2 linked regions of the Pelodiscus sinensis genome follow. The protein of the gene in region 1 interacts with the protein of each later gene in a pairwise test. Links are inferred from orthologs where the notes say so. Each region holds a gene or a part of one and is shown on either strand. Other genes may lie near its edges. The genes, in order: USP47 and AP4M1.

Region 1 (16,204 bases):
GGCCCCAGCTGGAGTATCATGTCCAGTTCTGGGTGCCACATTTCAGGAAACATGGAGAAACTGGAGAAAGTCCAGAGAAGATCAACACAAATGATGAAAGGTCTAGAGAACATGAGATGTGAGGCAAGGCTGAAGAAATTGGCCTTGTTTACCTTGGAAAAGAGAAGACCAAAAAGGGACATGAGCTTTCAAGTATCTAAAAGAGTATCATAAGGAGGAGGAAGAAAAATTGTTCTGCTTGACCTCTGAGGTTAGAATGAGAAGCAATGGGCTTAAATTACAGCAAGGGAGGTTTAGGTTGGACATTAGGAAAAACTTCCTGCTTGTCAGGGTGGTTAAACACTGGAATAAATTGTCTAGTGAGATAGCTGAATCTCCATCATTGGAGATATTTAAGACCAAGTTAGACAGACACCTGTCAGGGATGAGCTAGGGCAACTCAACTTTGGAAGCCCCAGGGGCCACATGACCTGCAGAACATGCTGAGAGACTCAACTTAAGTGTGGTTGCATATGCAAGCAAATATATACAAATAGCTTCTCTCACGCTGACAGGAATGAAAACAAAGATTAAGGCAAGACTACACAACACACAGGGCCCCATTTAAGTCAGTTCTGCTGATATTAATAAAATGCAACATTTACCTGATAGCACTTTTCCTGAGCAATGACAGTCCAAGAATTTAACTACTAAAACACATATCAACAGAAGATCATTACACTGACTACATTTTTGTTTTGCTTCACACTCGCCGGCCACGTGTTGATCCCCACATAAACCCAAACTGCACCACGAAGCGCAAACTGGCCATGGGCAGCATACCAAGTTATTAATAAATATTTTGTAAACGTTTACCTTTTCTCTCTGCTGTCATGTCTCCCCTCCTTGCTCCATCATCTCCCCTGGTGCCTGCTGCCCCCCAACTCCTCACCCTCCTCGGCTGTCCTGACTCCTGCCCTTCTCACTGCCCTCAGCGACCTGCCCCACTCCACCAGCCCTTCTCTCCCTCCTCTGCCCACTCCTCCAGTATCCCCACTCTGATCATGTGAGCTACCCCTCTTCTAACACCTCCCTCTACACACCTGCCCTGTCTCTCTCCTCTGGTGCTGGTCCCTCCACTGCAGATATATGCCCTTCTACTTCACTCCCAGAATCCCCTGGCACCTGCACCTTCCCTTAGCCCTGCACCCTCCTGGTGCCTCCCCCTTCCATCACTGCCCCTGCTTCCTTTGCCCTCTTTTTCCCTGATGCCCACCCCCTCACCACTCTCTGCCCCATTCCTATCCTGCCCCGCTGTGTCCTCACATGACTTGCTCCATCCCCACCTTTCTCATGCCCACCCCTTCTTTCAAGCCTTCTCCTAGCACGTGCCATAGCATCTGCCTATCCTTGCCTTGTTTCAAGCGGCCTACTTTTCCCTTTAGCCCTGCATTCCTGCCAGCTTATATAAACCCAACTGATGGGGGTTATTTCACCCAGTTAGTCCCTCAGCTGTGTCTCTTCTCGGTCAATGGATACCCTCTGCCAACTGCCTGTCTTTCGGTCAGGTCCCAATTTATGTACACTAGTGGGGTTTGAGTGACAAGGTGCTGAGCCAACTTACGACTCAGCACATTCTGTTAACCAACTACATAATTTTACACTCTGTCCCTCAGTCTTACAAGAGTACTCAGTTACCCATTACTGCTCAGTCAGCACTCAATGCCTCTGAACTTGTGTTGAAAACTTTTTAACTGCAAATGAAGATAGACCCACTGTTCAGCACATTTTTTTAAGTGAGCTTAAACACTGTGTAGGTAAATGTCCTAGTGTAGACAATGTCCAGCATTGTTTTTATAGCTGGTGTCTTCCCCAAGACATTTTTTAAATATAAGCCAAAATAGTTTAGTCAGCTCCCAGAATTACAGTAAGGAAAATACATTGTTTTGCTCTTTTTTTTAAACATACTAATGTTTAATTGAGAAGAAGAAGCACTTCCATGCTTTTGAAAAAGGGATTAACATTTAGCAAACATTTAGTCTTTTGTTGCCTTGTTGCAAAACTGTCTACCATTGGCTCTATTGTAAGAAAAATTTAGACAGCAAATGCTCAATAGGGATGTTAGCTTGACAGCTAAATTCTCTGATGAGTCTATCTGTAGCGATCATGCTCCAGTGCAAAGATGGTGTCTCCAGGGAAGAGGACTTGTGTCTTTGGCCACTGGAGGAGAGGGGGTCAGGGTGTGTGAGTGGCTGATGGTCCTGACCTGGCAGCGCTGTCCCTGGGTGCAGGTGTTACCTCGAACATGCAGGCATGCCCGTGTGCCACGTGCAGCACTCCTGAGTATGTGTGTGTGGCCATGTCCCCAGCTTCCTTCTAGTGGTGGCTTGTGGTGGGAAGGTGTCCCACCCTGGTGTCAGGAGTGTGGGCGGCCTCCCCATACCCTGTGAGCAAGAGCCCAGGGGTGCTGTGGTGCAGCTGCCTGGGGCTGTGTGGCCCAGACTGATGCTGCACATGCATCCATGTGCACAGACTGCAGCGTGATCCCCAGGCTGAGAAGGCTGAGTGAAGAGCGCACCTCAGCCCGTCACTGCCTGCCACCTCCTCCCTGTGTCAGCTAACTAAGGTCACTCACCCGATGTTCCTTCCCCAGCCTTGGAGAATGCCTGGGACACGTCCAGGGGCGGAGTGGGGTATCGTCTCAAGTGTCAGTGTGGTGAGAGTGTTGGCTGCGTCGGGATCCTCCTCCTCCTCTGCACAACCGACTCTGCCCACCCTGGGTGGGTGACAACAGGCATGTCCAGCCATAAATCAACCACCAGGAGTAGGGAAGGGACTGCACCACCCCCCAGGATGTGGTGCAGGTCTTGATAATAGGGGCAGGAGTGGGGTTCTGCCCTGGAGAAGGAGTTGCACTCCCTTGCCCTGGCATATGCCTGTCAGAGTTCTTTGACTTTCATCTGGACCTGCTCCTGAGTCCGGACGTGGCCCTTTGAGGCTGGGCTGTCAGCCATGCGGCCATAGAATTCGGCACTGCACCATTTGTTGCGGAGATTCTGGAGGTTTTCCTCCTCCCCTCCCACCTCAATGAGGGCCAGGATCTCTGCCCCAGACCAGGATGGTGCGTGACTCTTTCAGCACCTAGCAGACTCCTGGGGAGCTGTCGGAGTGCTCCCTGGGAGTGGGAGAGGGCTCTTGGGTCACTCATGCTGACTCGATGTCGTGCTCTGGCAGCTGCGGTGTGGCTGAAGGCTATCAGGGCCAACTTCCTGCCCCAAACCCTTTCTCCTGTGTCTGCAACTTTAAGGGCTGCATGGGAAGATGATCTATAGAGTCCTGATGAATGTGGACAGAGGGGCCAACAAGCCATTTGTGGGATTTCCCGGAGGCCCGTTATTTCAAAATAGCTCCAGCTGCTGTGTGTACACATGCCCTGTTCCGAAATAGCTATTTTGGAATAGGCATTATTCCTTGTGGAATGACGTTTACAGAAGTCAGAATAAGCCATTTGTTATTTCGAAATAATAGAATTGCTGGGTAAATGCTCACATTGTTATTTTGAAATAACTGTGCTGTGTACACACACCCTAAATGAGGATGATAATGCCATAGGCATAATAGACTTTGCCCTTTCCTAATTTTGGAACATTTGACTTTATCATGTAATGTTCTTTTAACATAGTTTCTATGTGGGTGATACATAGCAGTGCTCAATGATATCACTCCTGGGGGAATTCTGTGCCGCTGCACAATGCAAAATTGTGCAGAAATTAATGTTTGGTGCACAGACTTTCTTTTTTCCCCACAAAGAAATGACTGTGGATATATTGGCACCATTAAGGGCTGTTGGAGCCCAGCTTGCTGACAGATATTTTGAAACAAATTACAAAAATATTTGAAACTGGTGTGATTATAAAAATTGTATAAAATTATACAATAAAATTTGCAGAAGTTTGCAAAAGTTTAAAATCTTGTTAGCAGAATTTTTAATACTTTGGTGCAGAATTCCATCCCAGGGCAGGATATTTAGGCTTTCACAATGTACTGTTTTACTAATAGTCCACCCTCAGCTTTGAAAGCAGCATAGGGTTAATTATTAGAGAAATGAGCCTGAGGCTGAGGTTTTGACACGTTTCTAAAGACAGAGGTGTCCAATTCCCATCAAATTTCAATGGGAATTGGGAATCTAACCACAGTAGAAACCTTTTGAAATCTCAGCCTACATTGTTGACCTCTTTTACGATAGCCATGCACAATTAAGATGTGACATAGCTTCGATGATTTTAACATTTTTAAAATTTCAGGGGTGAAAAGAAACAACCTAAAACTCTTTCAATAGAAGCTGCACCTGACTTATGACAGGACTCAATTAGATCCAGAATGTTAACACTGTATTTGGAATTTGTTTGTTTTTAGGTTGGTTGGTCAAAAAAGCTTTTCTAAGCATTAAATGAGCTCAGGACTGAATTAAGACTAGTAGGATGTCACTATGTGAAGACTGACAAATGCTTCAACATTGTGTTATTCATAACTAGACTGTCGAGGCAGAGTTTAAACACCTAGCATCTGAGATGTATATTTAAAAACTTAACTCTAACTTTTTTTTTCTTGTCTGAGATTACTAATTTAGTTCTGGCCTTATAAGCATCCTTATACAAGACAAGGTAAGGATGTGCTACCCTGAATCAGAGGTCTTATACTATATAGAACTGTGACTCTTTTAAGAACAATGAGTAACAAAAACTCTTTAAAAAAAAGACCTCAAGATCAACTGGAATAATTTAATTGCTATATTCTAGAGTCTTAAAGAGCAGACAACAAATTCCTGTTTGGATAACAACAAATGGCGGAGTCAATTATATTAATTCCATTAGCTGAGTTTCAACATACATAGGCTATTGCTAGATGCTCATAGTTATTTCTGTCAATAAATGGGGCCAACTGATAGAATGTATTTTAAAAGGATTACTGGGAATCCAATTGGGGCAGATTTGTGCTAGTTTTTGTATCCATATACTAAAATATATTATTTCACAATATGCAAGATTCTCATTCTTGAATGTCAGTTCCCTAGTTCATAATATGAAGAATTCCCCAAGCTCCAGAGGGTTTAATCTCAAAGGAAACAGGAACACCAGAGGCATTAATCAGCTGGCTATCTGAAGAAGTGGGCTGTGCTCAGGAAAGCTCATGATACCATCTACATGTTTTGTTAGTCTTTAAAGTGCTACCAAACCATTTGTTGTTTTTTAAGTTTAATCACAAAATGGTAGTCTCACACTACCCTCAGAAACTTCCAGACACTTCTTTCTTGACTATCTTTTATCAGGAGCTTCTCTCACTGTTCTAGCTCTTCAATCCAATCAGCACCTATCCTGCTCTTATTCTCTCTCTCTTTCTCTCTGTCTGGCTTCCAGTCTAGGCTAGTCCTTGCTTTTAATGACTCAGAGACTCTTTGGCCACTGGTCCAAAAACATTAAGTTTTCAATTTGCACAAATCCTGAAGATATGATCTACAACCCATCCTGGACAATGATCCTTGACTCTCACACACCTTGGGAGGCAGGCCAGTCCTCATCCACAGACAACTCGCCAACCTGAAGCATATTCTCACCAGCAACTATACACCACACCACAGTAACTAATTCCTGCAACAAACCTCGGTGCCAAATCTGCCCACATATCTACACCAGTGACACTATCACAGGACCTAAGCATATCAGCCACACCATCACGGGCTTGTTCACCTGCACATCTACCAATGTAATATATGCCATCATGTGCCAGCAATGCCCCTCTGCCATATACATCAGCCAAACTGGACAGTCCCTACGTAAAACAATAAACAGACACAAATCAGATATCAGGAATGATAATATACAAAAGCCTATAGGAGAACACTTCAATCTCCCTGGATACACAATAGGGGATGTAAAAGTAGCTGTCCTGAAACAAAAAAACTTTAAAAACAGACTTCAAAGAGAAACTGCAGAGCTACAATTCATCTGCAAATTTGACATTATCATTTTAGGATTAAACAAAGACTGTGAATGGCTAACGAACTACAAAAGCAGTTTCTCCTCTCTTGGGCTATGTCTACATTGCAAACTTCTTGCGCAAGACCTGTTTTGCGCAAGAACTCTTGCACAAAAGGTCTTGTGCAAGAGCGCATCCACACTGGTCAAAATGCATTGCATAAGCCATGCGCTTTTGCGCAAGAGAGCATCCATACTGGTGGGAAGCTCTTGCGCAAAGATTTGCCCCCAGAACTACTTTGGAGAGGGCAAAAGGGCACCAAGGCTTTCCGGGGGCGGGGGCTGGAGCTCTTTTGAGATGCATGCTTAAAGGGATCTCCATGGACAGCCATTTCTCTCCTGCTGTGTGCTTTGGGACCTCTTGTAGGGACTGAAAGCTGCAGCAGTGCTAGTTGTGGTTGCCCTCTGCCTCTTTGGACACCACACCTTATGGCCTAGTGCCTTTGGCAACTTTTGCCTTGTGTTTGCTGTGCCATGGAGCCAGGGATGGCCCTGTGCTTGCTCTGCCCCACATGGCCATTTTGGAGTGTGGGCAGATGCTGCTCCATGCTGCCTTGCTACTTCCCGGGGGAAGGGAAGACTCCAGGCTGGGGGGGGGGGGGGGGGAGGAGGGAGTGGGGGAAGCCCCGTCACCCAGGGGCTTGTCCATCCCTCCCTCACACATGCCTGCTGGTATGGGGGGGGCCTCTGGGGCGAGGGGGCCCTGGTGTGTTTGGGGGCAGAGAGCATCACAGAGGTGTGAACATCCCCCAAGGGCTGATGCACCTACCCTGCCTCATTTGGTGCATTCCCTGTGTTTCTGTGTGCCCTTCTGCAGGTTGTCCATGCCATCAGTGATATCCTGCTCAAGAGGGTCATCCACCTGCGGGACGTGGATGCAGCTGTGGCTGTCTTCTCTGCCCTGGGGTTCCCCAACTGTGGGGGAGCTGTGGATGGGACCCACATCCCCATCAGTGCCCCAGAGCATTGAGTGGCCCATTTCATAAACTATAAGGGGTACTTCTCCATGGTACTCCAGGCCCTTGTGACCACAGTGGTCGCTTCACAGACATCTATAGACATCTATAACTGCCTCTGAGGATATGGGAAAGTCAGTGGATGTGATATACCTTGACTTTACCAAAGCTTTTTATACGATCTCCCACAATATTCTTGTCAGCAAGTTAAGGGAGTATGGATTGGATAAATGTATTGTAAGATGGATCTGTTCTTGGACTGGTTTTATTCAGTATCTTTATTAATGACCTGATGAGGGGATGGACTGCACCCTCAACAAGTATGCAGATGACACTAAGCTAGGGGGAGAGGTAGATACGCTGGAGGGCAGGGATAGGGTCCAGAGTGACCTGGACAGATTAGAGGATTGGGCCAAAAGAAATCTGATGAGGTTCAACAAAGACAAGTGTAGAGTCCTGCACTTGGGACGGAAGAATCCCAAGCATGGTTACAGGCTGGAGACTGAATGGCTAAGTAGTAGTTCTGCAGAAAAGGATCTGGGGATTAAAGTGAATGAGAAGCTGGATACGAGTCAACAGTGTGCCCTTGTAGCCAAGAAGGCTAATGGCATATTAGGGTGCATTAGGAGGAGCATTGCCAGCAGATCCAGAGAAGTGATAATTCCCCTTTATTCGGCTCTGGTGCAGCCACGTCTGGAACATTGTGAGAGGGTCCAGCGGAGGGCGACCAAAATCATTAGGGGGCTGGAGCGCATGACCTATGAGGAGAGGCTGAGGGATTTGGGTTTGTTTAGACTGCAGAAGAGAAGAGTGAGGGGGGATTTGATAGCAGCCTTCAACTTCCTGAAGGGAGGTTGCAAAGAGGATGGAGGAAGGTTGTTCACAATAGTGACCGATGGCAGAACAAGGAGCAATGGTCTCAAGTTACAGTGGGAGAGGTCTAGGTTGGATATTAGGAAAAACTATTTCACTAGGAGGGTGGTGAAACACTGGGGTGGGTTATGTACGGAAGTGGTGGAATCTCCATCCTTAGAGGTTTTTAAATCTCGGTTTGACAAAGTCCTGGCTGGGTTGATTTAGTTGGGATTGGTCCTGCATTGGGCAGGGGGCTGGACTTGATGACTGTCTGAAGTCTATTCCAGCTCTATGATTCTAATCATTTGTGGACAAAATGTTCTGATCTTGTTTGCCTTGAGCATCTAAAATCACCATCAAGGTCAATGGAGTAAAGCAGATGGAGTTATGGGAGCACAAATAATTCAGGAATAATAGTCCTCCCACAGAATTAATTTATTTTAAATGGTTACTATGTATTTCGTAACAGACACAGGACAACGAAAACTGTCTAAGTAGTGAGGCAGGGAGGATAAAGCTGGCATGTAAATGTAACAAAGAGGAAGTAATACAGGGATATTAACTTGGGCGTAGGACTCAAAGCAGTTGCTATTCAACTCATGAGGCTAGTTGGGCACAAGGTTCCCTGCCCCAAAGCAGCAAGCCTGTCCTCCGCAGAGGCGCCAAATACACGCGGCAGCGCGTTATATCTTGGCCCTGCAAGCCGCACACGCTGGCTTGAACGGCACGTGGCGCTCTCTGAGAGACCAGTCTTGCGCTAGAAGGTACAAAAAGCCCTTCAGGCTGGGGGGGGGGCGCCGCCGCGCAAGGACACAGGCATCCAGCCTCGCACACGGCGCCCCTCAGCTCAAGGGGCGGGCGGGCGGGCGCAAGAAGGCTGCTGAGAACAGCATGAGAGTAGCGATACCCAAGCACTTTACCCTTCCGTTGCACTTCTACCCCGTCACGCGGGCGCGTGTTACGTAAGTCACGTGAGCACCCCCAGCCCTGGAGGCAGGTTTCTAAAACGCGGCGCTTTAAGTCCCTCCCTCCGGTAAGGGGCGAGAGCGGGCTGCGGCACGCGCCCTGGCCAAATTGTCTCGCGAGGCTTACGGGCGGCCATTTTCTCATTGGCTGGCGTTGGTGGAGGGTGGGGGGACCGCGCGTTGCCCTCGCGGAGGTGGGGTGTTAGTGCTGGGCACTGCGGGGGGAGGATGAGCCACTCACGTCCCTTCGCCGCCTCCGGCCTCCGCTGACGACTCCGGGGCCCAGCGCCGCGCGCCCGCCATGGTGCCCAGTGAGGAGAATCGGCTCGTGCCCAAAGAGGTGGGGCCCGTGCGGGGCAGGGGGGAGGCTCCTGACAAGCACGCCGCGGGAAGCCTCGTTCCGGGTCGGGCCCGAGGTGGTGCGGCGGGGCCTCTCTCTCATGAGCGGCGGCCGGCAGGGAGTCCCAGTTGGCGTGTGAGACCGGAGCGCGCGTGGGTCCCAGAGGGGGCTGGGGCTGGGCTCTGCTGTCCAAGTGCGAATGGCGGGCGGGCGGGCGGGCGGGGGCGGTTGCGGCAGGCCCCTGCCCATGTTCCGGCATGCGGGTTTCTGCGGGGAGCGGGGCCGGTGGCGGCCGCTGTTTGCGCGAGCCCGGCGGAGGCCTTGTTTTTGTGGGGTCTGGGTGAACGGGGTGCCCTCGGCGTGTGTAAAGGAGGAAGAGGCGAAGCCTGGGCAGGGAGGCCCCTTGTCTGACGGGAGCGGGGAGATGTGAAAGGGTCATCCTGGCTCTGTGGCTCCTGGGAGCCTGGGGTATTGGGCGGGCGGGTGCTAGACGGTGCATGCCTGTACGAAGTTAGCTGGACACCCCTTAACGAGCTGTGTAGGAAGAGAAATTGTCCTCACGACTCTTGAGTGGAGAGCAGGTCCTTGTCTGTGGGCTTTGAAGGAGTTGGGGTTGTATGAGGGATTCGGTCTGAGACTCTTGAGGAGGGGAGAAGCTCTTTGAGTGAAGAAGGGGTGGAGACTGGAGGGAAGAGGTTTGGAGAGCGTGGGCTCACGTGTGGATTTCAGAGGAGGCTATATAACCTCTATGATGTTATCTGACGATGGTGGAGAAGGACAGGAGTGTTCATGGTGGGCTGGGGTCCTGAGAAGAGAATTGGTTTTGTAGCCCATGGTGTTCCTGTTTGCAGGAAAAGGTTGCTATCGCTTTAGCAGTGGGGAGGGAAGGAAATGGTGTCTGTAAGAGGTTAAGGATGAGGGACAGAGTGTAGGGGAATGGCACCTTTGCCCTTTTGCCCTGATATGTTCTTATGTAAAGTTTGTGTCAAAAATATTGTTCAAGATTGAAAGAGGAGGGGAACAGATTTTAAATGATGAACAAAGTGATAGTAATGCTCTTTTTAAGGAATTAACGTTAAGATTTTCAGCAAATTCTTTTGAGAATTGTGGATCTAGCAGGAAAATTAATACGCTCCATAATTTTTTAGTGATTTTACATTTTTGTATTAATAAATGTTACTTAGCTTTCCAACCTGGATTTACTTCTCTCAGTCTGTTCTGTCTTGTTACATATCTAGATTATGTACCTGTCGTCTTATTACTGGTTTGTACAGTACTTGTCATTTTGAGACCTTAATTCCAGAAAACGACTGTACTACAGCTAGGGATATGTGACTAGTTGACTATAAGATAATCAAAAGCTTGACTAGTTGCTTCTCCCCTCTACTCCCCTGCTCTTCTCTCCCCCCCCCCCTTGCTGCCTCTCAGAGCTGGCTTAAAAACTGGTTCCCCCAACACTATCTCTGGGGGGTGGGGAGGGCAGGGGAGTAGGCAGGAGCTGGGAATCAGCTGATTTCTGGCTCACATCCAGTACCAGATGCTGCACCTCTGCTTTTTAAATGTGATAACAGACTGTTGGCTCTTAGTTTGTTTAAAAATCAGAAGCACAGCCAGGGGTGACCTGCATGAGCTGGGACAGCTGATTCCCAGCTCCACTGGGTCCTGCTCTTAATACATGTAAAATGATAAAGTGCAGGGTAGGGAAGGGAACCCAGCGCGAGCAGGGAATTAGCTGTCCCAGCTAGTGCTGGGTCCCTCCTCTGCTCCCCCCCACTGTGCTGATTTTTAAATGTATTAAGAGCTGGCAGGCTTGAAATATATTTAAAAAGCAAAGGCACAGTGGGGTTAACTCCTCAGGTGTGGCTGGCTCCCTTGCTTATCAACTAATTGATGGAAAATCCATCAACCAGTTGATTAAACCAAATTTAACATCCCTAAGTATAGCTGTTCCTAAGTTTTATAGACATGTAAATAGATATTGTGAGTGTGTGGGAGCAGTACTGTATCATAAGTGAAGGATATATAATAAAATAAGATAGAAAGCTGTATTTTGGAGACACATTTCTAAAACTTAAAATTAAAGTATTTGGATTAAAAAACACACAAAAACACCACCACAAGGCAGAAGGGGGTATAGTCAGTGCAGGTGGGTGGAAAATAGAAAATAGAGACATACAGGAGAAGCCAGTTGCACTTGTGGTGGTAACAGAAATAAAGAGGTGGAGTAGTCCTGTGACACCTATATAGGGTCATGAGCTTGTGTGGATAAAACCCACTTCAACAGAAGAATCTTATTGTGGCCATTCCTTACGGGTGTTTTCATAGAATCATAGAACTGGAAGAGACCTCAGAAGGTCATCAAGTCCAGTCCCCTGCTCTAGGCAGGACCAATCCCAACTTAATCAACCCAGCCAAGGCTTTGTCAAGCCAAGACTTAAACACCTCTAGGGATGGAGACTCCACTACTTCCCTAGGTAACCCTTTCTAGTGCTTCACCACCCTCCTAGTGAAATAGTTTTTCCTAATGTCCAACCTGGACCTCTCCCACCACAACTTGAGACCATTGCTCCTTGTTCTACCATCTGTCACTACTGAGAACAGCCTCTCTCCATCCTCTTTGGAACCTCCCTTCAGGAAGTTGAAGGCTGCTATCAAATCCCCCCTCACTCTTCGCTTCTGCAGACTAAACAGACCCAAATCTCTTAGCCTCCCCTCATAAGTCATATGCTCCAGCCCCCTAATCATTTTGGTTGCCCTCCGCTGGACCCTCTCCAATGCGTCCACATCCTTTTTGTAGTGGGGGGCCCAGAACTGGACACAATACTCCAGATATGGCCTCACCAAAGCCGAATAAAGGGGAATAATGACATCTCTGGATCTGCTGGCAATGCTCCTCTAATGCAACCTAATATGCCATTAGCCTTCTTGGCTACAAGGGCACACTGTTGACTCGTATCCAGCTTCTCATCCACTGTAACCCCCAGGTCCTTTTCTGCAGAACTACTACTTAACCGGTTAGTCCCCAGCTTGTAACTATGCTTGGGATTCTTCCGTCCCAAGTGCAGGACTCTACACTTGTCCTTGTTGAAACTCATCAGATTTCTTGTGGCCCAGTCCTCCAATTTGTCTAAGTCATTCTGGACCTTATCTCTGCCCTTAAGCGTATCTACCTCTCCCCCCAGCTTAGTGTCATCCGCAAACTTGCTGAGGGGGCAATCCATCCCCTCATCCAGATCATTAATAAAGATATTGAACAAAACCGGTCCTAGAACCGAACCTTGGGGCACTCTGCTAAAAACTGACCGCCATCCTGACATCGAGCCATTGATCATTACCTGCTGGGCCCAGCCTTCTAGCCAGCTTTCTATCCATCTTACCGTCCATTTATCCAATCCACATTCCCTTAACTTGCTGGCAAGAATATTGTGGGAGACCGTATCAAAAGCCTTGCTAAAGTCAAGGAATATCACATCCACTGACTTCCCATGTCCACCGAGCCAGTTACCTCATCATAGAAGCTAATCAGATTGGTCAGGCATGACTTGCCCTTTGTGAATCCATGCTAACTATTCCTAATTACTTTCCTCTCATCCAAGTGCCTCAAAAGGGATTCCTTAAGGATCCCTTCCATGATTTTTCCAGGAACCAAGGTAAGACTGACCGGCCTATAGTTCCCTGGATCGTCCTTCTTCCCTTTTTTGAAGATGGGCACTACATTTGCCTTTTTCCAATCATCCGGGATTTCTCCCGATCTCCACGACTTTTCAAAGATGATAGCCAAAGGCTCCTCAATGACATTTGCCAACTCTCTCAGTACCCTCGGATGCACTAAGTCCAGACCCATGGATTTATGTACGTTTAGCTTTTCTAACTAGTTCCTAACCTGTTCTTTACCCACCATGGGCTGTCCATCTTCATCCCATCTTGCGTCACTTAGCACAGCAGTCCAGGAGCCGACCTTCTCCGTGAATTAAGTACTTGAGCTTTCCCCACATCATCTGTCACTAGGTTACCTCCTTCATCCGCACACAGTCTCTGATCACCTTCTTCTTGTTAACATGCCTGTAGAAACCTTTCATGTTATCCTTCACATCCTTAGCCAGTCGCAATTCCATTTGCGCTTTCGCCTTCCTGATAACCCCCTGGCATTCTCGAGCTATACCTTTAAACTGCTCCCTGGTCATTTGTCCAAGTTTCCACTTTTTGTAAGCTTCCTTTTTGTGCTTAAGGTTCACCAAGGATTTCCCCTGTAAGCCAATCTGGTATCCTACCATGTTTGCCTCTCTTGCTACGCGTCGGGATGGTTTCTTTCTGTGCCTTCAGTAAGGCTTCTTTAAAATACTGCCAGCTGTCCTGGACTCCTTTCCCCTTTATGTTAACATCCCAGGGGATTCTGCTCATCAGATCTCTGAGGGAGTCAAAATCTGCTTTTTTCAAGTCCAAGGTGTGTATTTTACTACTCTCTTTTCTTCCTTTGGTCAGGATCCTGAAATCTACCATCTCATGATCACTGCTTCCCAGGTTGTCACCCACGTCCACTTCCCCTATTAGTTCCTCCCTGTTTGTGAGCAGAAGGTCAAGCTGTGCACGGCCCCTGGTCGGATCCTTCAGCACTTGTGTCAAGAAGTTATCACCAATATTCTCCAAAAACTTCCTGGATTGCCTGTGTACTGCCGCATAAGTTTCCCAACAGATGTCAGGGTGATTAAAGTTCCCCATGAGAACCAGGGCCTGCGATCTGGAAGCTTCGCTCAGTTGTCTGAAGAAAGCCTCATCTACCTCATCCACCTGATTCGGTGACCTGTAGCAGACACCAACCACAACATCACTGCTGTTGTTTGCTCCTTTAAACTTAACCCATAGACTCTCAACAGGTTTTTCTCCTTGTTTATACTGGAGTTCAGAGCAATCGTAGTACTCTCTTACATACAATGAAACTCCTCCCCCTTTTTTGGGTCAGGGGCCACAGAAAAATCAGTTGGGGACCACACAAGTGAGAAGCAAAAGAAATCCCTCTAAACCACCCTAACCCTCACTGATGTGGCCCCCAACTGTGATGCTTCACTCCTCTGGTGCTCCAGTCCCATGATGGGGGAGGGTTAGGGAGGACTGAGGTTCAGGGTCTCAGATCCGATTTACTCTTCTGGAGTTCCAGGGTTAGTGGCTATAGTGGGCCCCCCCAAGGCTCTGGAGTGGTGCAAAAAATGAGGGGTTAAGTGTGTGGGACAGGGCTGCCATTGAATGGGATAGAGATAGAGGTTCAGGATCTGGGCAGGAGGTGGGGTATAGGAGGGGTGTGGTCTGGGTGGGATATAGGTTGCAGGAGTAGGCTGGGAGTAGGGTGTCTGGCCAAGGGGAATGAGTAAGGGGGGGGTGCAGGATCTGGGCATGAAGGTTGGGGAGGCCACTTACTTGCTTTTGTGCTGTGTGGAACACGGCCTCCCCCTGCTGCCATGAGCTGGAAGGAAGCCGCCAGTGTTTCCTGGGGGGAAAAATGATAGCGTGCATGGAGCTATTTTTGGTTCCTGGTTTTCCACATGCCAGGGGAAGAAAAAGCAGCACACGGAGGCATTTTTTGCACCACTTGTTTCTCACCTGCTGGATCTGGCAGGAAGGCTCCCCTGCTGGAAGCTGGTGCTGGCATTTTAGTCTTGCAGAGGTGGCCAGGGGGTGGGAGGAGAGATTAAGGCTGTAGTGCCAGTGCTGGCTTCATGCTGTGGTGAAAGCTGCTGGGGCTCCAGAAGAGCCATGGCCTGCTCCCTAGTGAGACAAACGTGGCTTGCCAGCCATAGGTTGCCAACCCCTGGTATAGAAGAATGTGGATTTGGAGTTTGTATGTGTGGGAGAACTGTTAGTCCCTGTGTGCCCAGTGTGTTTTATTTATATTATTTCTGTCCAAATTTGTGGAATACTTTATAATACTGGTAGAGGATATCTGATCAGTGTAACTTGATCTAAAATACATGTGTGTTAAGATTTTGCTTTACATGTGCTGCCTCTTTTTTACTACCTACTAGCTTGGGGTGGCCAACCAGTTAGAGATGAAGAGCCAAAATAGTGGTGGATAGAGTGCAAAGAGCGATGTATATATTTATTTTTATATATCGATATAGTACACAAAATGTAGTGATAAAAATAACATTACAGGATATTTCAGACAAAAACTAAAGTCTAATTGCTTCAGCCTAGCAAACAATAGCCTTTGAATTTTCTTTAAAGAAACAGTGAAAACCAGGTACATGCTGATTCTTTTTTTTTTTTTTTTTTTTTTTTTTGCCCTGGAGTTTAAATGACATCTGTGTTGGCTGCCTTGTTCTGCATCCATGAAGACTTTGAGTTTAAAGTGCTTCAGCCTCTCCCTCCTCCCCCACTCTAACCCAGTCCTGCTCCTCTCCCCCAGAACTAGGCACCCTCAGCCCCCCTGCTCTAACCCAATCCTCCTCCCCTCTCCCAGAGCCGGGCATGCTTCCCCCCCCCCACACTAACCTAATGCCTGGGTCCCAGAGCTGCTGATGCTGCTGCGGCCACAGCCACTTGCACTTCTCCCTCCAGGCACTGGGGTACGTGCTCAGAGTGGCCGGCCGTGAGCAGTCCAGGCGTGTGGTTCAGAACCAGCAGGAGCTGCATTTCTTTAATAAAAGATCCGCGTGCGGCTCAAGAGCCACGGATTCTTGGAAGAATGTGTAGAATGAAGGATCAAGCAGAGGGCAAACAGACCTTGCTTCTCCCCCTCCGGCAGGCCTATGTGAGCAATCTCACTCTCCTCCTTCCTTCACCTGGGCTGGCTCTGCCTCCTGCCTGAGCAGGAGGGCCTAAACAATGGAAGGATGCTATAGCCTTATTAGTGTAATGATTAATCCTGTCCCTGTGCAATTTCAGTTTATAAAACTAGCCACACTCTTCATTCAGTGGTACTGTTGGCAGTGGCAATTGAGACATTGTGAAGATGCAGTGACACACTACTTTTTCTTGTTTCAGGAAAGCAGCTGAAAATTCTTTAAAATAACTAAAAGTACAATTAAAGGTCCTAGAGATTTGAAAGTTACTTGGAAATGGAAATATATGCATGCAAGA
Region 2 (15,728 bases), on another chromosome or scaffold:
AAGCTGTTCCATCCCCCTGATCATTTGTCACCCTTCTAGGTACTTTCCAATTCTAATGTTTCTTTTTTAGATGGTGCAGGTGTTCCATGGACTTAAACGGGCATTATAATATTGTCTTATCTATCCCTTTCCTAGTGATTCCTAACATTGTTAGCTGGTGTATTTCGCTCCGAGCTGAGCCCAGAGGCAGAAGGAAGAAGTGAGATGCCCATGCCCACACCCCACACTTAGCCTCAGGGGAATATCCTACAGCCCAGGCCAGCAGTTGGTTGCTCAGCTCTAGGCCCCTGTGCAGGGAGCAATTTCCTCACATCACTATCCCTCTCTGCAAACAAACCCCCTCCATGCATGGCTAGGACAGCGAGGACTTGCAGTCACTTTGCTCTGTTGCATGTGAGTTCTACTGTTCGATCATAACCCAGTTGCTGGGACACTGAACCAATGCCTAGATGGGGAAGCTAACCTAGCTCCAACCTGTCCGAGCCCAGTAGGGCCTTTTGCCACGAGAACAAAAGACAGATAAGATTCTTAGCCCCCACCTACCAGGCTGGTCCCTAAGTCAGACTCAGTTACCTTGAGGTACAGAGATAGGGGCAGAGCCCTTGGCTCTGAGCCCCCTCTCCCCAGGATGGATCATGCTGGCTGCTTCTAGTTCCTGTGCTGACAAGTCTGCTCCACACTGTGTCCCTGCTGCCTCAAACCACCTCTTGTAGCCACCAGCTGAGTCTCACATCTGGCTGCAGATGGTGACTCCCTACGCTTCAGTGATGGGTGGCAGCAGTGGGATGCACTGCACCCCATAGACCGAGCATCAGGCATTAAATGACTAGGGCAGAGTAGAACAAAGAGGGACAAGCAAGAGCCAGGTGCACTGAAGGCCAGTGAGGTGCAATCCCAGGGGTGGAGGAACCTGCAGCTTAACTTGAGCATGTGGTCCTCAAGAAGGGGGTCACACCCAAGGAAGGGTTCTTTGTGGGGACAACCAGAATTGGGCCCAGAAGTCACAGTTGACTGGATAGGGGTACAAGGCCTGCTGGCTGCCCACCCTTTGGCAGCACAAAGCGCTGTTTGCCTAAGGCTCCACCGTGCAGAAGGGTTGGGCTCAGCCACTAGCAGGGAGATGGGTGATGGGGCAGCAGAGCAGGGCCCATTGAGTTCGCAGCCCCTCCCAGTGGAGCTCACAGGACGTAAGGCGTAGGGTGTCCCCAGGGACGGGGGAGAGACAGCAGCAAGGCCCCTGCTCTGCCTGCCCCTCCCCTCCATCAGTCACGCTGTATCACAAACCGCTTTATTGGCAAGGTAAAAGCTCAAAGTGTTGCACAGACAGGAGGCCCCTGGGCACGTTGTGGCCCAGAACTATGCCTGCGGGTTGTGCACCGTGCCAGGGATGCAGCTGGCCAGGCCGAGCGCCCAGCACTGCCAGTTCAGATAAAGGTGATGCGGGTGCGGGCCTGGTTCACCTGCCAGACATTGAGCTCCTCATACTCGTCCAGCGCAGCCTGAAACTGGGCAGGAGTGAAGCCCCTGGAGATGCAGCGCTGTTCCGCCTCAGCATAGGGCACTGCATGCCTGCCTGCCCCGCCCGCCAGCTCCCGCACCGCCGCAAAGATCAGGTCAGCAGGCCGCTGAGTCCTAGGGGGGTGAGGAGAAGGATCAGTGCTGCCTCAAGCCCACACTGTCCTCAGGGAAGCCCCCCCCAACACCATGCCAGAACCTGGTACTTCCATATCTATTGATCCTGCCCATAGCCCCAGTGTCAGTCACAAAAAGTGCTCCTCCAACATGATGCTCCCATCCCATCCTGCCAACAGATCCCAGGCCAGCCCCTAGGAACTGCCCCCATGCTGCAAGGTACCCCACACTGCTGTCTTGGGGCAGGGGGAACCACCAGAACATGCCCCACATCTCAAAGCACCTGCCCACCAGCAGGAAGCGGGGCCATGTGAGGAGCCCTGCCCTGCTAGCATGTGGGGCCCAAGATCCAGGCCCCCTGCCTCACCTGGCTTGCTGGCCCCTGTCACCGAGTAGTGAGTCCTTAGACATCTCCATGAGCCGCATGGCCTCGTTCACATCCTCCTTCTCCACCACATCCACCAGCCTCAGCCGGGCCTGCAGAGGGCAGCAGGGGAGGGTCAGGGCAAGGCACCAGCTGCGCCCCTGAGCCAGGGCCTGCCCCTTCCTGATGCCCGACCCATCAAACAGGCACTAGCAACCCTTGTGACCCTGTCTGCCACACCAGCCCATACAACACCCCTTCCTACCCACCCCCCATCACTCAGCCCGACGAGGCTGCATCCCCACTGCCCTGCTATGGGACAAACCATACAGCAGCCTGTGGGCCTGGATCTACCACAAGGGGACAGGTGTCCTCATCACAGGGCTCAAGAAGCACTAACTTGGCAGCGGACGACTGAATTTGGAACCTAAGCGAACAGCACTTGGCAGCCTCCAGGCCTGGCTAGCAACAGGCAGAGCAGTTCCTGCTTGGGCCAGCCCCTGTACACTGCACACTCTGTCCCCACCCGCAGCCAGAAGGCCCAGCCCCGCAGGCAGCACCCAGATGCCAGCTACCTGTACTGTGAGCACTTTAGCCTTGCAGCCCCCCCGCCCGTCCCCATCCAGGCAGCCGCTCACCAAGGCGCTAGCCAGGCGCAGGATGCCCAGCAGCGTGCGGGCCGACGTGTAGGTAGTGTCTTTGCTGGCCCAGGCCTCCTTGCGCATCTCCACATAGGCAGCTGTGATGTAATCGGCGAGCGCCTCTGGCACAGCTGGCTGCTTCCGCTTGCACATGTTGATGTAGCGCCTGGGGAAGGGGAGTCATATGTGGTGGGGGGGGGGGGAAATCTGTCTCCCAGGCAGAATACTTGGGGCAAACATGGCTCCCAGCCCTCTGCCAGAGCCAAGGAGAGAACCCAGGAGTCCTGGCTCCCAGCCCCCTTCTCTAACCCACCAACCACTATTCTCTTCCCAGAGCTATGGAGAGAACCCAGGTATGTGGGCTCCCAGCTGCCTCTTCTGTCCCCAGGCCAGGTGAGCACTTACCTCATGAGCTTCATGTCCAGCTGCTGGAAGGCGCAGGGCGGCTGGCGGCTGTGCTGGTGCACGTAGGTGATGTGCTGGGCTAGGCTGCAGGGGTGAGAGGCATCAGTGCCGCTGCCTTGGGCCCACCCCCGTCCCTGCCCAGCACCCATCCAGTTCTCACCGCAGGTCGTTGTCACGGTCGGGCCGGTCCTGGATGAGCCAGAGCAGGTCAAAGCGGGAGAGCAGGGCGGCCGGGAGCTGCACGTTCTGCTCCAGGCTGCGGCGAGGGTTGTAGCGCCCATAGGCGGGGTTGGCAGCAGCCAGGATGGCGCAGCGGGCATTGAGGGTCGCCAGCACGCCTGCCTTGGCAATGGAGATGCTCTGCTGCTCCATCACCTCGTGAATGGCTGTACGGTCACTCTCCAGCATCTTGTCAAATTCGTCAATGCAGCACACGCCCTGGTCGGCCAGTACCAGTGCCCCGCCCTCCAGGGCCAATTCGCCAGTCACTGGGTCCCGCAGCACGGCTGCGGTCAGCCCCACGCCAGATGAGCCCCGCCCCGTGGTGTACTGGCCTGCAAGGAGGGGCAGTCAGAAGGGTGCCCCATCGGGAGGGGCAGGCAGTAGGGTACTGACCAGGGGAGAAGGGTAGTCAGGGGGATACCCTAACCCTGGGGAGAAAGGGGGCACATGGCACTACATGGGATAGTAACCCAGGAGGAGATAGGGACCCGCCTACTCTTACCCTCCCAGTTGCCAGACTGCCCCTGGAGGATGCACATGCTAGGCCCCTCAGAAGGTGCTACTCACTACGGGGTGCCAGGCGATCAATATAAGAAAGCAGCTGGGACTTGGCCACACCGGGGTCTCCCATCAAGCAGATGTTAATGTTCCCTGGAAGCAGACAGATCAGCATCAGAGACCTCTCCCAAGCCTGACCCCCCACCCCCTACCACTCCAGCCTCTCCCCAACTTACCACGAATCTTCATGCCACGGGGGTTACGGTCCACACCCCCCACCAGCAGCAGCAGCAGCGCCTTCTTCACATCCTCATGCCCATAAATCTCAGGGGCGATGGAGGCAGCCAGCTTCTCGTAGAAATCCTCCTCTGCAGCAGGAAGGATATCAGTGGGGCTACGGAGCCTGAATGTAGCCCTGGCTCCATCCCACACTCACCGGGGCTCAAGTGAGGAGGTGAGCCAGCTGGCAGGGTGGACAGGGGAGGTCAGCAGGGACCAAGGTACCACTTTTATCAGCTGCTCTGCAATTAGCATGCCCGGAGAGTTGGCAGGAGGTGCTGCAGGGCTGGGATGGAGGAGGGCTATGGGGGGAGTCCCAGTGCAACAAAGTGGGGATTTTATTCCCCTCATTATGTTGCATCTGATTTCTACTGTCCTATAGTAACCCCGTGCGAGTGCCTCAGTTTCTCAAGATGACAACTTTGGGTGTGACTTCCATTCAGAGAAGCTCCCTCAGCCTCCTGCAGGTACATTGTGGCACAAGCGCTTTATGATTTGAGCCACAGGGCAGGGTTTGACCACATGACACCATTTGCCAGTGAGCGCAGAGGGGTCTGGCTGGGGCACTGGCTGGAGGGTCGGGGCAGGGCTCTTGATCTGAGGCCCCTCTCCCCAGGATGGATGGTGCTGGCCATTTCTGGTTCCTGTGCTGACAAGTCTGTGTCCCTGTCGACTAATAAACCTCTTCTAGCTGCCAGTGGAGAGTCGCGGATGGGGGTGCAGGGCCTCCCTCACACCTCAGTGATACCCAGCTGCCCTGCATTTGGCTGGCCGCCGCAGGCCATGGGGGGGGAGGGGGTGTCACAGCTGCCCCAGGATGGCTGGGGTGGGAGCAGATGAGGCAGGTCGGGGGGAGATGGAGGGAATCACCTGTGATTTGGCGCAGCTCATCCTCTGTCAGCTCCTCTGCCCCCAGCTCATCCTCCTCGCTCTTGTTCATTTTCGCAATGTGATGTGCCTCCAGGTAGGTCTCAGAGAGCAGCCCCTAGAGGGAACAGGGGTGTCACTCCATGGGCCCTGCCCACCAAGCCCCACCACCACTTTCATTAACCCCACACCCCTCACCTGGGCCATCTGCCGGAAACCGGTTCTCAGCAGGGGCAGGAAGACACCAGTGATGCTGACGTGGTCGCCAGGCTGAGCCAGCCGTGTGTTCTCGCCATGCACAGTCACGCTGATTGAGCGGGGGAGATGCCCCACAGGCACCTGGTCACTCTGTATGAGAAAGATACACATTGGCCCTGATCTAGCCACCCCTCGAGACCAGCCCCTGCTCTAGCAGAAAGCCCCCATGATGACGTGGTGGATTGATGGTGGTTTCAGTGGGGTTGCATGCGGGGAAATGGAAGCACTCCGTGTCCCTGGCTATTACTGGTTCAATGGAGGGTGAGGGGGGTGGGGGAAAGAAAAGGAGAGTTTGTTGTTCCAGGGACCAGCACAGAACTGGAGACCCCACCGACTGGTGACCAGGAGACCCAGCTTGGCTGGCACAGCTGGGCCAGGGCCAGTGAGAGGCCAATGGGCTGTGGGGAGAGGAGCCCAGTGACTTATACAGCTGGTCCCAGCCAGGGGGACAAAGGATGGAGGAGAGGGCAGGCAGGGAAGGGTGGGCGGGGGGACAGGCAACCCTGGTTACCTGGGCAGAAGACAGAGGCCAAGGGAGGGGCTGCTGGGGAGGGATTTGGGGGGGCTGGGCTGGAAGGAGGGGGCTGCTGAACTGGGCAGGGGGAGCAGGCAGAGCCCACCTGGCTGCAGGGGAGACTCAGACGTGTTGGGCTGAGGGGGCCAGGCCTACAGGCCTGAAGTTCCTGTGCTGGGTTCAGTGCTCAATGAACCCTCCTGTGTGACGCTGGCGGAGAGTCACTCCGGTCTGAGAACAGGGCTGCACTAGCCCCCCTGCGAGTGTAGGTCCTGGGGTCCAGATAAATGCTGGGGGCTCAGAGAGGTGAGGTCCCAGTAGGGCTGGAGACTGCCCCGGCCGGAATGGAGCAGTTTCCTCACCCAGAATCTAAGATGTGGGTTTGTTACAGGCCATCATATCACAGGCCGGGTGTGAGGCCTAAGGCCCAGACACAACCGTTAAGACTTTGCTAATATAAAATGAAGACAAGCTGCGAGCAAGAGGCAGGCCTTGCTCACAGAAGTTGACAAGAACAGAGCTAATACTGCAAAACACTACTAGGCAAAAGCTCTAAGCACGTTCAAGTGTGGTCACAACAGAACACCTTGTTAAGAAATATCTCGATACCAGCCCCCTCCCCACAAACAACAGGAATACTGACTCACTCAGGACCACCAGCATAATAGATAGTAATTGAATGAGATAAAGGGTGGTAGCTAAGCTACAGGAGGTGGCAACCTGATACATCAAGAGTGATGTGGAATGTGTTTGTACCTGCATATAAAAGTGAATCCCAAAGAGTTGTCTTTGTCTGACCTAGGGAGAAGTGTCTCATCCCTGGCACTGTCCACTATAATGGGCATACATGTGTTAGCCTCACTGCAGGCTCTTTGGTCCAGGGAAGCTAGGACTGTGCCTCATCTACAACAAACCTGGCCAGGCACCTTGGATCCTTATCTGATTTTGTGGTCTTTGGGGGCAATCAGTCTGCTGCGTTGACTAATTGTGTGAGATCTATACAGTAAACAGAGGGAGCAAATGCACTAACGCATGCAGCCGAACAGTTATCAATGAAAAAACAGGAGACCTGTCAGCATGCCACATCCCTAGGTCCTAGGAGACAGAGCGGCTTAACTCCCAAGGAAAGTGGATTCCCAAGAAGGGTCTATTGCACTGGAGGGGTTCCCCTGAGGACTATACAGTCCAAGCTTGGGCGTAACCTACAAATCTGTGACAACCTCATAACCAAATGGGAGGGCTGTCATCAGGAGCACCCAGATCGGTCTTTGGGATCCCCAAACTCATCCCTCCCATTTGCCCCCCACTCACATGCTCCTGCATCTTTAGCTCCTGGAACTTGATGAACTTGGAGCCACGGCTCTGCAGATAGAGACGCCCCCCGGAGCGGTTGGTCTGGCACTCCTGGCTCGGGCACATGATCAGCGGCATGAAGGTTGGGGCCTGGATCTGCAGGGGTGGGAAGAGGGTCTGAATCAACCAGCCACCCCTCTCCACCACACCTAACCAGGGAACACAGCTGCTCCCTCGTGCCCAGCTGGGGGCATGACAAAGTAGGGACGTTCGTCATTTGCTGATCTCAATAAGTCTCAGTTTCCCCATGTTTCCTAGCTGCCCAGTAAAGGAAGGGCAACAAATGTGTTCTGAGGACCAAGTAACTGACATGGGTGCTGAAGGAGCTGGATGAAATAGACCTCAACCCACCAGGGGCCCACAAGACAAGGTGCAGTCGAGTGACTAGAGATCTCGTCACCCCTCGGCAGGGAAGCAAGCAGAGACCCCAGCTACAGAACACAGGCCAAGAAAGCGTGAGGTAGGGATCTAAAATCCCAGCTAATCGGTTAAATGGTTAAGCATTAGATTAACCTAGTTGGTTAACCACGTAAACATTAAGCGGGATCTCACCACTCCAGCCCCCACACTAGGGCTGGCTCTGCCAGGGCAGGAGGGGCATGTCCCCCCCCCCGCTCCCGACTTCCCAGGCTGTGTTGACTGCCTGGGCGCCGTAGTGAACAGGCTCCTGCAGGGCGAGACAAGACTCTCCCAGGTGTAAACCTGTTTCACTGGCTGACTGGAGCACAGGGTGGGACTAGTCTCTGGAGACATAAGTCCATGTGGCTGGCTCAAGAAACACCTAGGGGGTCTGTCACATCAATGGGGTCCCTGGCACAACAGAGGGGTATAGTCCTGTGGACTGGTGACAACAGCTCAGCCATTCATCAAATTAAATTCATAGGTAGCAGGCTTAAAACAATCCAAAGGAAATATTTCCACGCACAACACAAAGTCAACCTGTGGACCTCTTTGCCAGAGGTTATGTCCAACACTATAACACGGTTCAAACAGCTAAATAAATTCATGGAGAACAGGTCCATCGATGGCTATGAGGCAGGATGGGCAAGAATGGTGTTCCTAGCTTGTGTGCCAGAAGCTGGGAATGGATCATCACTGAATGGTTACCTGTTCTGTTCATTCCCTCTGAAGCACCCGCTTTGGCCACTGATAAAAAACAGGCTAGTGGTCTAGATGGACCTTTAGACTGACCCAGTATGGTTGGTCTTATTTTCAGCCCTGAGCTGACAGCCAGCCGGCAGGACAGCTCAGCCCAGCCCCTTCCACTCACTGGCTGGTAGGTCTCCGCTCCACACTGATCACAGCTGTAAGTAGCCACCACCATCATGGGCTTGACCTCAGTGACACGGGTGACGATGCCGCGCACGGTGACCAGTTTGCCAATGCAGTCGGCTTTCACGTCCCGGATCACGCGGGCCTTGGAGCTTGACGGTGCCTTGAAGTAGAGCTCACTGGAACAGAAGAGAAGGCCCACGAGTTAGAGCCATAGCAGGGGCCAGGGGGAGGAGAACCTGGTTGGGGGCAGGGGAGATTTAAAAGAGCCAGGAATAACAGGACCCCCACACCTCCCCTCACATGCACTCACAAGCGGCGCAGCAGCTCTGGGGGGTACTGGTTTTGGGGTCTGCGTGTCTCTGCTGTATCGTGGCCACGCTGCTCCAGCATCAGCCGGTGCTCAATGTACACGTCCAGGGCATCCTTGTGCACTACCTGGAGTGGGTAAACAGGGACTCTGTCAAGGTGCCTCAGCCACTCTCCCAAAGCTCCTTCCACCCACCAGTATCCCTCCTCCCTCACCACCCCTCTCCTTTACCTCATGCTGCCTGTGAAGGGGTAGCAGCTCGTGCACAGCGTCGGCAAAGAGGCGGGTGTAGCGCTTTGCATTCTCGCACACAGCATCCACTAACTCAGGGTCCTCCTCTGCCAGATCATCCAGCTCCACATACAGAGCCACCTGCTCCCTCTGAGCCAGGGCTACCTGCGGGGCAAGCACAGGTTGAGCAGCTGGGGGTGAGGCCCGGAGCCGCCAGAAGTGGGAAACATGGGTGCAGAGGGAAGTAGGGATGATAAATATCAGTTAATTGAATAGTTGGGTAAGCTCATGAATTCTTATCGCTTAGTCAACCATTCTCTAACCCCAGCCTCACTCCCGAGAAGCCCCCGCCACTCCACACGGCTGCTGTATCAGCGGTAGCTTTGTGGGGTGCCAGGTGGGAGCTGGTCCATAAGACGAGCCAGCGCCCCTCACGACTGGCTTCCTGTCGCTCTATGCTGCTGCCGCTGCTAAGGCAGTTGCGCCCCTGCGCAGGAGGAGGGCTGAGCGGAAGGGAGCCGGGCTGCCCGCCCACCCCGCTCCTAATACACTTCGCAGCGCCTCAGCGGGGGCAGGCCCTGGACCCAGCGCAAGCCAGGACTGAGCCGGGCCGCCCTGCTCGAAAATGCGCTGGGAGGGGAGGGGCAGCGCGCAGCCGGCGGCTGTTGCTTCTGGCGCTCGGCGCAGCGCCCCAGGGCGAGGGGGGACGTTGAGTCTCACCAGCCGGTCCCGGTAGGGGAACTCCTTGCCATGCGGGCCGGGGCGGCAGAACTGCTCCAGGAAACGCTGCACCTTCCCTGGGGGGGGGGGGGGGGGGAGAGTGTCAGTCCAGCCCTGCCCCCAGCGCGGCCCCGACCCTCCGCCCCCCCGTCCCGGCCGCGCGGCAGTAACCACCTTTCTCCGCCGCGTAGTCCTTGGGCGCCATGGCGGGGACGGGGCCTACGGGTCGCCGCCGGAGTCAGCGCAGGCCGCTCCCGACCGACCCCTCCTCAGGTTCCTCCCGGCTGTCGCCACAAGCAAAAGTGGCGCGAAACCAGAACCATACCACGTGTCTGGCCCCGGCCAATCAGGACCTGGTCCCACCCCGGGGCCACGTGATCCGCCCAGCCCGCAAATCGGCGCTCGGGCCGAGCTGAGCCTGTAAGCCCCGCCCTCACGGCTCCATCACGTGACAGCAAAGTCCCCTCGCAACAGCCGGGTTCGAGCAGAGCCGGTGAGATTCCCCCAGGCCCCGCCTCCTCTTAAGGGAGCCGCGAAGTCGGGGAGAAGAGGGAGGTAATGGGCGGGGGGCGCAGGGTGAGCCGGTAGCAGGGGCTGGGATTCGAAATGAGAGCGGGGTTTCCTGGCAGGGGCGGAGGGTGTCGGGCAGGGGACGGGGTTTCCGGGAGGGGGCGGGGCCAGGTTTCAGGGCAGGGCCCCACTCACGCTCTCTTTCCCCCCACCCCAGGCCTCCGAGATGCTGTCTCAGATTTTCATTCTCTCCTCCAAGGGAGACAGACTCGTCTACAAGGACCGTATCCTACCCTGCCCTGCGGGCTCCCCAAACACCGTCCTAGCACCCCGGACTCCTCCACGTCCCCCAGCTCCCCAAATGAGGGATGTTAGCATACAGTTGTGTAAGCGATTAACCGATAAGCCTGGCTTTATCGGTAAGTCCTAACAACTACACACCCTCCCCCCGCTTGCCCTCTTTCGATCTGGATCCCATAGAACCCCCCGCCCCACACCCCAAGGTGAAGCGAGAGCCGATATGCACAGGGGGCTGCCTTTTAAGCTCCCTGCATGTGCTGGCTTCGTGGAGCTGCCTTGCCCTCTTGCTGCCTCCCACAAACACAGAGGCAGCAGCATGGAGTGGCAGGGAGCTCCCTGGGAGTGGGACCAGAAGCACACTGGCTGCACTCCAGGGACTATCGAATAATTGTGTAACCACCAAGATTTGGTGTGGTTACATGGTTATTAAACATCTAACATCCCTACACCAAATCCTCCTGCCTCTAGTGCTCTGGACCCCTCCAAGGCCATCTCCCCAAATACCCTGATATAGCCCCCTAGACCTCCCCCTTCCAAATGCCCCCTTGCATAGCTCCTCAAGTGTCCCATGCAGATCATCTTGGCCCCCGGGGGAACCCCAACTGGGCACCACCTCCACATCTGGCTTTCTAACTGGGCACTACGGGGGGAGAGGGGGAGCTCTCAACCATACTGCCCAGATGGGATGATTTCTCTTTAACCCCCTCCCAGTGCGTGGTGAGGCAGCAGGGAGCAGCATGGACCTGACGGACACTTTCTATAGGAAGATCACAGCCCTGCCTAGGGACCAGGCACCTGTCTTTATGGTAAAGGGGTGGGTTCCACAGCTCTGCAGTAATGTGGGGGCATCACTATAGGGATGAAGCATCTCTACGATAACAGAAGTGGAGAGCATCTGGGCAAGTATGTGGGAGAGAGGGGTACCCCCTGGTGAGGGAGAGGGTCCATATAACTCTGCTTGTGTTTCCGCTACAGGTGCATGAGGGGCTGCACTTCGTCCACGTGCGTCACGCCGGCCTCTACTTCGTGGCTACGACAGGGCACAATATCTCCCCTTTCACCATCATTGAGTTTCTCAACCGGTGAGAGGGGCAGGTGTAACCCCAGGGCACAGGGGGTAGACAGGGATATGGTGGAGCTCAGAGGATGGGGACACACAGCGGGAGGGGATGCACTGAGCCAACCCTGCCCTCACCTGTCTCTCTCCTTTCCCACAGGCTGGTGACGCTGATCCATGATTATTGTGGTGCTCTCAGTGAGAAAACCATTAGCCTCAACTTCGCCCTCATCTATGAGATGTTGGACGAAATGCTGGTAGGCAAGCACTGCTGAGGAGCACCTTACCTGGGGCACTGCTGCAGGGAAGCTTGCAGCTCTAATCTCCTGTGCCAGTGGCAGGGGCACAGGTGGGCTCTCCCCCTCACTCTGTACTCTCCCCCCATAGGACTATGGCTATGTCCAGACCACAGCACCTGATGTATTGCGCAACTTCATCCAGATGGAGCCAGTGCTCAGCAAGGCCTTCAGCCTGCTGGACCTGGGCAGTGTTGGCCTGGTGAGTCCAGTTTTCCCCCCCCTCCCACTGTCGGCCTGGTGAGTCCAGTTCCCCCCCAGTGTCCAGGCAACATCTGACCTGTGAGCCCCTTAAAAACACCATGCTCGCCCAGTGAACGTCCCCAAATCCCCTGCTCCCCCAGTGCTGCCTGGGCAGTGTTGGCTTAGCGAATCTAGCCCCTGAACCATCCCATGTCTCCTTCCCACCAGCACTCTTTGGGCAGTGTCAACTTGGTGAGCTCCGTCACCAAATCTCCCAGTGTCCTGTGGGCAGCTTTTCCTGGATCTGGGCCCCTGGGTAGCATCAGCCTGGTGAACTTGGCCCCCCAGATTTCCCCCCACCCCCATGTTTCCTCCCCTTCAGCACCTTCCCAGGCAGCATCAGCCTAGAGAACTCCCCCAAATCCCACCCGTGTCCCCACCTCCCACTGTGCCCTCCCAGGCAGCAACAGCCTGGTGAGTCCCAAATCCCCACTGCATCCCCTGGGCAATGTCGCCCTGATAAACCCAGCCCCAAATCCCCCCAGCCCCCACCCCCGGTCAATGGCCTGATGATGCCACTCTAAGCTCCGATCTCCTCTCTCCCAGCACCCCTGAATAGCAGCAGCCTCACGAGCCCTCCAAATTCCTCCCCGCCCCCCCATATTCCCTCAGCCCCCTTAGCCATCGGCTCCTCTGGGGAAAATGTTACCCTGAGAGAGATCCGGTCATGGGGTACCTAGTATCCCCAACCCCAACCCCTGGGAGCCCATCAAGGCACCATCCCTGGGCCCTACTCCGACCTTCTCCCCTTTGGTTTCAGTTTGGTGCGGAGACACAGCAAAGTAAAGTGGCTCCGAGCTCAGCCACCAGCCGCCCTGTTCTGCCCCCCCATGGGGACCAGGTGAGACACCCCCAGCAGTATGTTGTCCCCCCCCTTCCTGCTCTAGCATGGAGCGGGCCCCTCTGTCTGGGATGGAGAGGGCCTGCTGGCAGCAGTCACATGAGCACTGGCTATCTCCCTGCAGGGTGCGAGGAACGAGGTGTTTTTGGACATAGTGGAGAGGCTGACAGTCGTCATTGCTGCCAATGTGAGTCAGAGAGGGGAAGGTGTGAGCCGGGGGTTTTGCATCCTGACACACAGCCCCTCCATCAATTTACAGGGTCAGAGCAAAGGCTGAGCTTCTAACCAGGCCCAGGGCGGGGATCCCTTCAACCCCCTAAGGCACAAAATTTAGCCCCACAGCTTCCCCACCACAGAGCCTGAGCAGCCCTCCCATCGTGCACCGCCTCCCAAGGGAACCTGCTCCGACCCGTGTCATTGTCTGGGCCTCACCCCATGTTCTCCCCAGGGTACCCCCATGAAGGTCGACATCCAGGGAGAAATCCGCCTCAAGAGCTATTTGCCTAGCTGTCCCGGTGAGTAATGGCTGCAGCCCCACAGCCTGAAGCAGCTCACGTGGGCCAGACCCTGGTGTTTCATTGCTGAGTAGATATACCCATTGTGAGCGGGAGAAAGCAGGGCTGGGGGCAACGGCGACTGGCCCCGGCCTGGGCAGCTCTCCCCTGGCTGAGTCCCTTAATACTCTCTCCCCTCCCTGTAGAGATGCGCATTGGGCTGACAGAAGAGTTCTGTGTGGGGAAGTCGGAGTTGCGAGGTGAGTAGCCACTGCCAGTCTCTATTCCGCCTCACAGGGCCCCCTCATTCTGACTCCCCGACCTTTGCTCACTGCAGGCTACGGCACCGCTGTTCGCGTGGACGAATGCGCCTTCCACAGCTCCGTTAAGCTTGATGAGTTTGAGAGTGCCCGTGTCCTAAAGGTCAACCCCAGCCAAGGGGAGGTGAGCCCTGTGCATAGCAGCTGGGCCTCTGCTCCTGGTGCAAGACCATGGGACGCCCAGTCTGGCCCCATCCATCTGTGCCTTCAGCTCCACCAACCTGACCACATCGAACACGAGCTGGCCGAGTACACGACCTGCACTCTGCAATTTCAAAAGCCTCAGCCCTCTAGCCAAGTCTCACACGCTGTGTATGAATCAACAAACCCCTTCTGGGATACACATCTACCGGGGCCCAACTCTGTGCCCTCCGTGGAGCTCCTCTGAGTCTATTCCCCACTCAGAGAGAAGGGTGCCCCCAGGGGTTTCCTTCCTGGAGGCAGCATCTCTGCCCTTCCCTCATGGCTTTATCTCAGAGTCCTCAGTAGTTCTCCACACGGAGCTGTCCGCAGTGCTGCTGCTCTTTCAGCCAGCCAATCTCCCCGTCGGCATACCTTGAAGGCTCCAGAAACATGAACTGCTGCCTGGCTTCTTGCCTTTTGGTTCTGCCATACGTTGCCCCAAAAGGCCTCCAGGAGGGGACCTTGGGGCCTGATCCACCCTGTCACGCTACATCTCTGCTCCCCCAGGATCCTGTTCCCTCACCTCTTTGAGTGACACACTAACAGCCTCTCTCCCCAGCTCCCAGTGACACTATTTGCCTGACCCTGTCTCGGCTCCCCCAGCTGATGGGGTATGTCTGGACTGCGTTGCTCTTTCAGGATACCAGCAGAATCCCGAAACAGCAATGACACGTTTTTAAAAGCACCTGCTATTCCAGTGTCCCCATAACCCTCGTTTCAAATTTCAAAAAAAGCTCTTTCGATTTAGACTTGGAATAAGCGAGGCAATCTGCAAATTGTGAAGCTTATTCCAACAGACGGGTGCTGTCTAGGGTGATATACCACAAGCCTAATCCACTGTCTGCTCCCCCAGCTTCCAGTGATGCAGTACCAGCTCTCAGACGACATCCCCTCAGCCCTGCCCTTCCACCTCTTCCCCATGCTGGAGCGAGACCCCTTGGGCAGGTGAGTAAGGGCTGCAGCCTCTCAGCCCGGTCCTAGCAGCTGCCGACTCTCACCGTTCCCATCTCCCTGCAGGCTCTGTGTCTACCTCAAGCTCCGCTGTGACCTGGCTCCCAAAAGGTAGGAGCCCCACAAGGGGAGAGACCCCCTGGGAGTGGGGTGGAGCCACATGCTCACTGGTTCAGGTACAAAATGGGTCCCTGCCCTCTATTGATCCCCGCTGCTCTGAGTCTGGGGTCCCAGGCCGGAAAGATGCTGCCACATGTCCACCCTGCCCTACTGGCCCCTCTTCACTGCTTGCTCTTGCCTCCAGCCAGGCCCTGAACGTGCGAGTCCAGCTGCCAGTGCCAAAGGGGGTCATCAGGTGGGTGATGCAGGCTTCTTTCTAGTACAAAGGGGGTAGCTTTGGGGCAGCCCTTTCCCCAGCAGCTGGCAGACCAAGGGCCAGCCTCACCTCTCCTCTCTCCCAGCCTGTCCCAGGAGCTGAGCAGCCCTGAGCAGACAGCAGAGCTGCAGCCCAGCACAAAGGCCATCCGCTGGGTGATCCCACGCTTCCAGGGTGGCTCCCAGCTCTCCGCCCTCTTCAAGGTAAATCTGGCCTGGGGCAGGGTAGCTTAGTGGCTGAGATGCACTGCCACACTGGGCAGGGACAGAGCAACATATCCCTGCACTAGGAGAGGAGCAGGCCAGCCCCTGCCCTCCACGATTAATCAAGGGGCAGCTCAGCACAGTTCGCCAGTGGAGCTGGGGGATGAAAGACCAGGCTGGGGCTCTCTTGCCTGTGTGAGGTTTGAGGAAAGCCAACTTCCCCCCTGCCATGCTCTGCCCTAGGCAGTAACACCTCTCCCTCTCATATCCCTACAGCTGGAAATTCCAGGGCTCAGCCCTGCCTCACTCCTGGAGGTGGGGCCAGTGAACATGTCCTTTGAGCTGCCCATGCACACTTGCTCTGGCCTGCAGGTCCGCTTCCTGCGCA

The links.
Region 2: the proteins of USP47 (region 1) and AP4M1 interact in binary tests that used the Homo sapiens proteins (3 or more experiments, as listed by UniProt). The two-hybrid records come from large-scale screens. The link is inferred for Pelodiscus sinensis from reciprocal best matches to the Homo sapiens genes USP47 and AP4M1.

The regions. Positions count from the first base shown.
Region 1 is NC_134714.1:103,009,660-103,025,863, reverse strand, and holds the start of USP47 (ubiquitin carboxyl-terminal hydrolase 47), read left to right. Parts: upstream 1-8,946; 5' UTR 8,947-9,091; coding exon 9,092-9,130; intron 9,131-16,204. UniProt on the Homo sapiens protein: Ubiquitin-specific protease that specifically deubiquitinates monoubiquitinated DNA polymerase beta (POLB), stabilizing POLB thereby playing a role in base-excision repair (BER). Acts as a regulator of cell growth and genome integrity.
Region 2 is NC_134734.1:7,468,605-7,484,332, forward strand, and holds the start of AP4M1 (AP-4 complex subunit mu-1), read left to right. Parts: upstream 1-9,994; 5' UTR 9,995-10,121; intron 10,122-10,293; 5' UTR 10,294-10,302; coding exon 10,303-10,360; intron 10,361-11,087; coding exon 11,088-11,182; intron 11,183-11,351; coding exon 11,352-11,458; intron 11,459-11,593; coding exon 11,594-11,690; intron 11,691-11,820; coding exon 11,821-11,931; intron 11,932-12,732; coding exon 12,733-12,813; intron 12,814-12,937; coding exon 12,938-13,000; intron 13,001-13,261; coding exon 13,262-13,328; intron 13,329-13,513; coding exon 13,514-13,567; intron 13,568-13,644; coding exon 13,645-13,751; intron 13,752-14,663; coding exon 14,664-14,755; intron 14,756-14,827; coding exon 14,828-14,872; intron 14,873-15,065; coding exon 15,066-15,116; intron 15,117-15,222; coding exon 15,223-15,340; intron 15,341-15,616; coding exon 15,617-15,728. Other genes in the region: DNA replication licensing factor MCM7, read right to left, coding at 1,425-1,632, 2,000-2,109, 2,635-2,803, 3,043-3,126, 3,203-3,596, 3,832-3,915, 3,999-4,130, 4,912-5,026 and 7 more. UniProt on the Homo sapiens protein: Component of the adaptor protein complex 4 (AP-4). Adaptor protein complexes are vesicle coat components involved both in vesicle formation and cargo selection. They control the vesicular transport of proteins in different trafficking pathways.